2 linked regions of the Daphnia pulex genome follow. The protein of the gene in region 1 purifies or fractionates together with the protein of each later gene. This does not show direct contact. Links are inferred from orthologs where the notes say so. Each region holds a gene or a part of one and is shown on either strand. Other genes may lie near its edges. The genes, in order: vang-like protein 2 and segment polarity protein dishevelled homolog DVL-3-like.

What was found.
Region 2: the proteins of vang-like protein 2 (region 1) and segment polarity protein dishevelled homolog DVL-3-like purify together in Drosophila melanogaster (affinity purification with western blotting; 3 studies listed by BioGRID). This does not show direct contact. The link is inferred for Daphnia pulex from reciprocal best matches to the Drosophila melanogaster genes Vang and dsh.

What each region holds. Positions count from the first base shown.
Region 1 is NC_060018.1:12,086,742-12,091,127, forward strand, and holds the start of vang-like protein 2, read left to right. Parts: upstream 1-1,385; 5' UTR 1,386-2,042; intron 2,043-4,386.
Region 2 is NC_060018.1:12,878,300-12,882,892, forward strand, and holds the start of segment polarity protein dishevelled homolog DVL-3-like, read right to left. Parts: upstream 2,975-4,593; 5' UTR 2,757-2,974; coding exon 2,596-2,756; intron 2,464-2,595; coding exon 2,394-2,463; intron 2,325-2,393; coding exon 2,236-2,324; intron 2,168-2,235; coding exon 2,088-2,167; intron 1,972-2,087; coding exon 1,903-1,971; intron 1,796-1,902; coding exon 1,649-1,795; intron 1,585-1,648; coding exon 1,347-1,584; intron 1,278-1,346; coding exon 1,149-1,277; intron 1,077-1,148; coding exon 949-1,076; coding exon of another isoform or gene 889-948; coding exon 799-888; intron 739-798; coding exon 433-738; intron 365-432; coding exon 107-364; intron 18-106; coding exon 1-17.

The sequences.
Region 1 (4,386 bases):
GATGTAGCCAGCGAAACGTGTACGTATATACTGTGTAGCTTGGGAGTCTAGTGGTCGATCCTTTTGTTGTTGTGTGTGTGTCCGGCAGTTTGAAAAAATAAAAAAAATTTCGGGGGGAAAAAATCGGAAGACTCACAAATGTCCCTCAAGCTGAGAGATAGATCCAAAACGTAATGAAATATCCTTCCGGAATGTTGCGTATATATAAGCCAAGCCAAAAAAAGAGAATGGAAAAATTTAATTTTTGGAATATTTTTTGATTCGCTTGTTATCTCGACGGAAATTCTTGTCATTCCAATTTATTTCAAGTTAACGTTGATCCCTTTTTATATTTGATTTAGAACGCAGAAGAATGTCTGTGTGTAAAACTAGGAGCTAAATTCATTATTCTTTGTTTATAATAACTATAAAATACAATAACCGGTGTTGAAAGAAATATTTGGGGTGAAATTGACATCATCTTTTATATCTATCGATAAACAGGTATAACCTTGATGTTAAATGGACGTTCAACTCCTGCGTCAATGATGCGGTTTTCATCACATAGAAAAGCTGCGGTCAGCATCTCTCAAATTCTATTGTGTTTAAAGATATTAAAAAGGTGGGGAGCTGTATAGTTTCCACTGTCTCTCTCTCCTTCATCTAATTCCATTTAATGATTTGGTGTTGTATAGAAAAAATAAAACCAAGAGCCTTATATACTATTATCCAATTCGGATCTGGATGGACGGTGAACCGGACAGGCTCAACTCGAGCGGAACGGACGTATATATATTTAGTGAGACCTGAACTGTGTGTTTCTCTATTACAAGGCCGATAAGAAAAATTTAAAAATATAAAATGGTACACGAAAAAATATAAGCGGATTCGATTTCTCAGAAAAATTGATTATCTCCACTTCAATTGTTTTTTTTTTTGTTTTTATTTTTTTTAAATGTCATTTTTATTCATCCGGAGAAACAAATTTATCCTTTCACCGGTCACGCAATGGTGTGTTTTTACTCGTGATATTTATTTTCGGCTTGACGCCAAGTGTCCGTCTATGAATGTACACACACACACACAGAGAATCTAGTAGAGTGGATATAGTCCGTCTATCCTTTTTTCTTTTCCTTTTCTTTTACGGTTGCAGTTGTGTTTTTCGGGGGTGCCAAAGACCCGACGAGAGTGCTGGAACCCCAGCTAGCACGACTGGGAAAAATAAAAACCCACCAATAGGAACCGCATTGCCACAGGGTACGTTCTTCCATCTTTCTCTCTTTCTCTCCTTTTTTAACCATTCTTTCATTCTCTTTCGTTTCTTTTCATTCCCCCCCCCCTTCTCTCTCCCTTTCCCCGTGTATATATAAATATATGTACTATATATAAAAATACAAAAAAGAGCTGGAAGAAGAAGAAGAAGAAGAAGAAGAAGAGTATGGCGTGGCTTTATCGTGCCGGAGCAGCTCAGTCGAGTGTGGACGCTTAGCCGCAACAGCAGCAGCTACCAGGAGCAGCAGCAACCAACCAACAATTTTTATTATTTTGTTCGTGTGATTGTGTGTGTGTGTGTGTCTGTGTAGATTTTTATTTATTTTTTTTTTTTCCGGTGTACTCGGAGAAGATCTGGAAGAAATTTCTAAGAAATAGAAGAAGAAAAAAAGTGTCGATCTACTACTACACATGAGTGTCGTCTGCAGCAGTGAATCGCTTATATTTCCAGGGAATAATAAGATCAGAGACGATTCCCAGGGATTTCCATTATGGATTATCTGCTTACAAAGTTGTGATTTATTCGTGCGCGTTGTATATGGATTATTATTATTAGACACAATCGATCCGTCCGAAAAAAAAGTCCAGCAGTGCGCACCCCAGCACCGGTGCTGTAGATTGAAATCAGACACCGGAGAGAAAAAACAACTTCAACAGCAGCAGCGACTATTGTGTGTGTGTGGATGTAATTGCACATCATCATCCTGTTTTTCTTTAAGACACCAGCAGCAGCAGCAGAGCGAGGCCGGAACAAACTCCTACACATTTTGAAATCAAATTAAAATATAAAGGTGAGTGTTTTTTTATTTTATTTTTCTTCTTCTAAAATAGTAGAAGAAAGAAAGAAACGCTATTTGTCCAACGGCTGTCCAGCAGCAGCAACACCAAACATTTTTCTTTTTTGGCATTCTAATCCCGGTGACAAGATATTTTTATTATTATATTATTTCTGGCCCGGTGTTTATAATCCTTGCGGCCGTAGTACGGGGATAGCACAAGGTCCCCTTGGCGAATGAAAAGAGAAATGATATAAAAGGACAACACACGACGACGGGAAAAAAAGGAAAAAAATGTTTGAATAGAAAAGATGAAAAGTTACGGCATTTCTTTAATGTCTTCTTTTTCGTCGTCGTTCGTCGTTCGTCGGACGGTAGAAAAATAAAATAAATTTGTTTTTTTCTGCGCAAATCTAAACTGGCTTAAAACGTCTAAATTTGGAGATAAGGCGACTAAATAATAGCTGGAACGATTCGACTGGAGAAATTTTATTTTTTTGAAATGAGAGCAGGTTGAATATAATAATAAAATAGATCTGGTTTTGATTCCATTCGATATATGTTCCATCTGTTTTGTTTTAACAAATAAATGCAGACCGGTAGGGATGAGATGTCGCTGTTAAGTATTCGTGACCCGACGCGGATTGTTTCGAAGGGAAAACAAAACAAAACAAAAATCAAAAAATCTCATTAGTAAGATCTGGTCCCGCCAAGTTTTGAAAAACAAAAAAATCTACAAGGCGACATGGCTAAATGGAATTAAAATCAAAAGGGAAACTAAAAACTGGAAATTCGAGATTTGGTCCTTTTTTGTTTGAAATCTTATTGGAGGGGAAAAGGATATCATCGGGGAGGAGAGGATAGATTAATATATTATTGAGACAAGAAAAAAGAAAAACAGAAAAACCGGTCGATTTATAATGGCTGAACTTGTTTTTTCCTTGACGAAAAAAGAAAATAAAGGGAAAATAAATAACCCATCCTTGTTTGGATTAAAAGAAGAAAGAAAAAAAGTCATTCGGCAGGTTTAGACGTTGTCGTCGTATATATTTTTGTCTTCTTCCAAAATAAAAAATTCGTACTAAAAAAAAGGGGGCTCCGCCCTTATTTATTTTACGCGTAGATAAGAAAAACGTCAGATATTGAAATCTTTTTCTTCTTTCATAATGGCATATCCATTTTCTTGCTTCGTTCTTTCTGCTTTGACGAGAGAGAGACCAATTACACGAATATTTCACCCTGGCCAATCATCCGATACACCCAAAATGGGATGGACGAAAAAATATCTATGCACAAATGAGCTCATTAAATAGACTGAACAGTTTCCCAATATGTCGGAACAGATGGATCCCAAAACCAACCAACCAAAATTCCTTTTTTCTGCCATCAATCGTCTGTGTTATATACCGACAAGAAGATTATCCAGTAACAGGATAAATATATATATAGATTAATTATACCACTCAAGAGATTTATTAGACTCAACTAAATATCTAATACACACAGCGTCCCAGCAGCAGCAGCAGCTCTTGACCAAATATTATGACACCCGTGCTGTTATAGACTCGTGACATTCTCCAACTGGCCCCGGCAACTATATCGAGAGAGATGTTTATCGTAAGAAAAAAGTAAATTCTCAAGTAGTAGCCCATAGCGGAGTCGTAAATAAGTCGGCGCCAAAATTTGAAAAATAATAAAAATTTTTAAAAAGTTCTTCTTTGCGGTTGTATTAGATATATTTTCGGTGGGTTGAAATCTATCAATCTCAACTTTGATGAAAACGAGGGTTGAAAAAACTCGATCTCTTTAGATAAAACAGGAAGAAGCTCTTCTCCCCCTCTTTTCTTCTGCTGGGATGTTAAATAGTAAAATAGAAGAAGGTAATATAATGATGCGGTATGGCAACAGTGGCGGTTCTCCTTGGTTGTCTTGCTGCTGGGCCATTCACCTGTTGTTGTTGGGGGATACCAGAAGAAGAAGAAGAAGAACCGGAGGAACTTGAAAATGTTGAATTTTTTTGGCCCTCAGCTTCCCTCCAGGCTACACCTGGTTCTCCCTTTTCCTTCATTCTTCCTTTTCTTCTTCTTCTTCATTCCATTCGGTTTCAGGGAGGGGGGAACTGTTGCGCGACCGTTTTCTTCTTTTATTACACCCACAAGAAACCTTCTTCTTCTTCTTCTTCTTCTCTTACCTGTTGAGAGAAAAACAAAAGACGGTCTCGAATATGTCTGGCCGATTCGTCGTTCTTTTTTTCTTTCTCCGGCAGCCAACAACAACAACCAACAACATTTTTTCTTTTTCTTCACCAAGACCGCCCGCGCTTAAATGTTGTTTTTCGCGCTCTTCATTTATTTTTTTC
Region 2 (4,593 bases), about 790 kb from region 1:
GTCGGATCCACTGCTCCCTGTTTGTTATTACAACGTCAACATATTTGAAGTTCGACTTTCACAATACAGTTTGTAAGGATTCAATTAATCGAATTTGGAGGGTTACCTGAACCACTGTGAACGCTGCCTTCTCTTCCATACGTAAATGTAGTACTTTGTACAGGCGCCGATCCGAGGGGATCACTGCTGTAGCTGTAAGGCATGGGCGCATAACCGGTTGGATAATAAGGTATGTGAGGGGTAGCCCCACCGGCTCCTGTAGCACCAGGCCCACTACCCCAAGGAGTCGGCAACGGCAACGGTGCGAGCGTGTCTCTATCGGCTTCCGATGTCGTGTCATCAGTCAGGCGAAGAGCCGAAACACCTACAAGATAAAACCCTTTCATCAAACAAAATATTCTATAACCCGATAAGTCTCAAATGTCAACTCACCCAAACACAGGTCTCCGAACACGTAGTAACATTGTTCAGAGAATGTGTACTTGTTTACTGTATGTCTGATGTAACCGTTTCGCAGAAGCTGGGAAGCCAACTTGCGGGCATCACGCCGCTCTTCTAGTCCTTGCACGCGATTGTGAAGCCAGTCGACCACTTCTGATCCAATAAACGCACTTGGAATTACAATTTTTAACCAAAGGCGATCTCTAACTTCAAGTCCGGAATCTGGGCGCGCCATCGCTCGCACAATTGCGAGCATGTCTGAGCGCACTGAAAGCGGTTGGGCTTCTTCAACTGGACCTGTGACAAGTAGTACTTAGTCAAAAGTTCTTTCGGTACATTTTCTACGTGACAACTTACGTTCGGTTTCTGGCATACTCGACATCATTGTTGTGGTGGTTGACGACATCGTCGCCACAGATGGCGGACGATTCGGGTACTGCGTTCCACCTAATATGACGTTAGATTTGTTGTTGGATGCCAATTTATGATTTAAAATACGACAATCACCTCTTGCTGCTTCCGTGTGAGCAACCCACGCACCGGGATCAATAGGGCGAACAGGTTCCGTACGGGGTATAGTGAAATATCCTTTTGGATTAGGATCCCAACACTTGGCGACTACAAGTTTGATTGGGCTGACACATGCAAATAAAAAACACAATGTACTAAATGTTAAGTTGGAAAACAAAAAAAACAGTTATGCTTACCCAGGTTTCTGGACAACTTCTCGTAAAACGCGAACGGCATCGTCATTTGACATATTTTCAAAGTTAATATCATTGACTTGAAGGATCATGTCACCAGGCTCGATTCGACCATCCAAAGCGACAGCCCCACTAAATAATAGCAATGATTTTCATTTGAAATTACCACAAGAAATATGTCAGGTTCATCTGTGTTTATACCCTTTCATTATGGATCCTACGTAAATTCCACCATCACCACCTTGATGACTCTGGCCGACGATGGAAATTCCTAAAAAGTTGACTGTGTCCATGTTGAGGGTGACAGTGATTATGTTGAGTGACATAGTGGAATCCGTGATACTGGAGAATGATGAAGCTCGAGATGAAAGAGGAGGGAGGCGGGGACGGCGACGATTACGTCTCCGATTGCGACCTTGGCGAGACACACTAGTGTGATCTGCAAATTTCAAAATATGCAAAATTTTCAATAAATCCAGAGTTATTATAACTTTGCTTAATACCCGTGGTCGTTGTGATACGTGAAGATGCATCTTCTTCAGAGTCAACGAAGCTGGTCGACTCTAAATCCGAGCTGATCATAGAAGAGGATTCATATTCGTGTCCAGCTCTGTGTCTCATAGCGTTGTGGCCATTTCGAGGAGCTTGAACTAAAGAGACAATCGGATGTTAATCGAATATATAGTAAGATAAGACATTCTACATGAAAATTTAGTGAAGCAACAATCTACAAAAAAAGCCATGCTAACAAACTCACCATCAAAGCGATCATATTTTTCATAAGTTTCACGATGCACACGGCCAGAGCGGGGCAATATGTGCCTCTCTTCATGGCAAAACATAAAGAACAAAAGAATTGCAGAAGATAACGAAAAATGAGATGCAACAGGACAAAGGTAAACACATAAACATAAAAATACAGCATAAGGAAATAAAGTTTACCACTGTGTCTTGAACTAATGACCGATTCTGTCTCAGTAGCTGTTGTGTATTCCTCAGCCATACTTCTGTTATGGCCAGGGCTAAAATCAAATGACGAGTTAATTACCAAACTTTACAAGCAGTGAAAATTTGTAAAGAAAAAACTCACTGGAAAGACGGTGGTCTCCCATCAGTAGTGGCAGTACTCTCAGCACATTGAGATACAGAGTCTGAAATGCTACTTTCAGCTGATACTAGCTACAAAGTGAAAGAAACATTAAGACATCTTAAAATATTCATCAATATAATTTAACTTGTTACGTTTACCCATGATATGACTCTTCCATTGAAACATGGAAGGTGAGCATCGTCATCAACAATTTCTTCCTTGACAACACTAGAAACATAAACAATAAAGAGAAAACAATGCTTACACTTGCATAAAAAAATAACTACATGGACAATTATCATGTAACACGTTATTGCCACTTGACAACAACAAAAAAAAAACGAGAAAAACTGGTTTTACCCGAAATCGTCGTCCATTGATTTGAAGAAAAATTTGTAATTTGGACGATTGAGAACATTCTTGAAATCGGCTAGGGTAACTTGATCGGGAGATATTGTAAGTTTAACAAGATAGGGAGTTTCTTCTTCGTCAATGTGGTAAATAATCTTTGTTTCCGCCATTAGGAAACTGCGTCAAGAGTCAACGACAACAAACCAATCGTTTTGACAAGATTACAAAAACGGGTAGGGCGTCAAAAGTTACTATCTGCGCAACATGAAGAGGACTGAATAGTGAATACAGACTTTTCCCCTTTCCCTCAGGCTGTTCAATATGGCGAGGCTTAAAGTCTTGTGAGCCTCCAATTGGGCGTCCCGGTTTTCCCAAAAAATATTAACGTCAGCCGACAGATGGTTTTTCCGACCCGCTATCCACAGCGTAGCCATCTACTGCTCACACTGCACACTACTTGCTTCAAATTCAAATCTGGCAAAAAGGGGGGATCTTCAAAAAGGGCTGTTGTTCGTGATTTTTGTTTCATTTAAAAAAATAAAATAGCATATAACGTTGAATAACTCGCTAACGGCCGTGATATATTAATAATACAATAATCATTAATCATGGTGAATTGGTGATCTTACTATCGTATCCATAGTAATATAATATAATATATATTAATATTTATTCATAAAATAATAATTAATATGTATTCTAGCTTTGGTTATCATGTAAGCTGTAAAGATTCCTTAAATTTTCGATTGCTTTTAGGTTGTGGTATCATGGCAAAAGGGCAGCAAGCTAGTAGCCAGTAGTGATGTTTCGTTAGTGCTTTTTCTAAACGTTAGCGTTATCCGTTAAGTTAACGATGTCTCATTTTTTCACGTTCGTTAACGCCGTTAATTAACGCCGTTAAAAATGTCTCCGTTAACGAAAATTCGACGTTATTTTTACCGTTATTTAATAAAAAAATTGCACTATCAAATCACTGAAATCAGTCACGGTCTTGATTACTTATATTTAAATTGCTGCTGGCGTTGAACAATGTCACAATGAAGCAATGATCAACTAAAAAAAACAGAAACTGCGGATTAAATAAACGCACAGACAAAAGAAAAAAAAACAAGTTCCAACTAAAAAAGTAAAGGCCTCAATAAATCCTTATTGCAAGTGAGGAAGACTTTTGCGGCCAAAACTTCTTCCGCCGTCCTATTTTTGTGTCCTAGACAGTGCCATCCGGCAATGGAAAATTCGCGTTCAGATGATGCCGAAGAAACTGGTATAACCAGTAAATTATAGGCCATTTTGGATAATTAGGGGAAACGACCAGACAAATCCTTCCAGTAAGAGATCACATCTTGAACTGGTGGATCCTTAGAAGGATCAAATTCATGACTTGCAAAGTGGAAGTTGTCTAAAAGTTCAGTTTCAATGCAGTCGAGGGAAGTGGCTAGAAGGTAGGAGCAGTCGAAATCAGGATCTCTTTAATCTGTCATGAAATTAAATCTTCTTTCGAGATCTTCTAACATCGCAGATGCCACGCTTATTCACCGTCAACAGGAGCATCAGAGTCTGAATCTGACATTAAAGATTTACACTCTGATTCTAGTTGTTTCCCTACTCTACTTATACAGTTTCGTTTGCCACGTTTTGAAAGCAAAAAAAAACCTCAGAGAAGCTAAGAAGACTACTGCTCACTGTCATTGGCTATTTAAATTCGTTTTCATAGTCAACCTACTACAGTAAAATGTTGGAAGCGCGCAAAAAATACAAATTTCATTTTGAAAAATCCAAAAATTTCATATTTGGCAGCGCTGTTAAAAACAAAAATAACGTCTGAAAATAACGTCTGAAAAATGCCAAACGTTAGCGTTATCCGTTAAGTTAACGAACCCCAAAAAAGGTCCGTTAACGGACTTTTCACGTTATCCGTTATCGTTAACGAAACATCACTAGTAGCCAGTTCTCACTGAAGTTCGTCTGCCACCACTCACCAGCATTGGCAGCATTTTTTTGCAAACG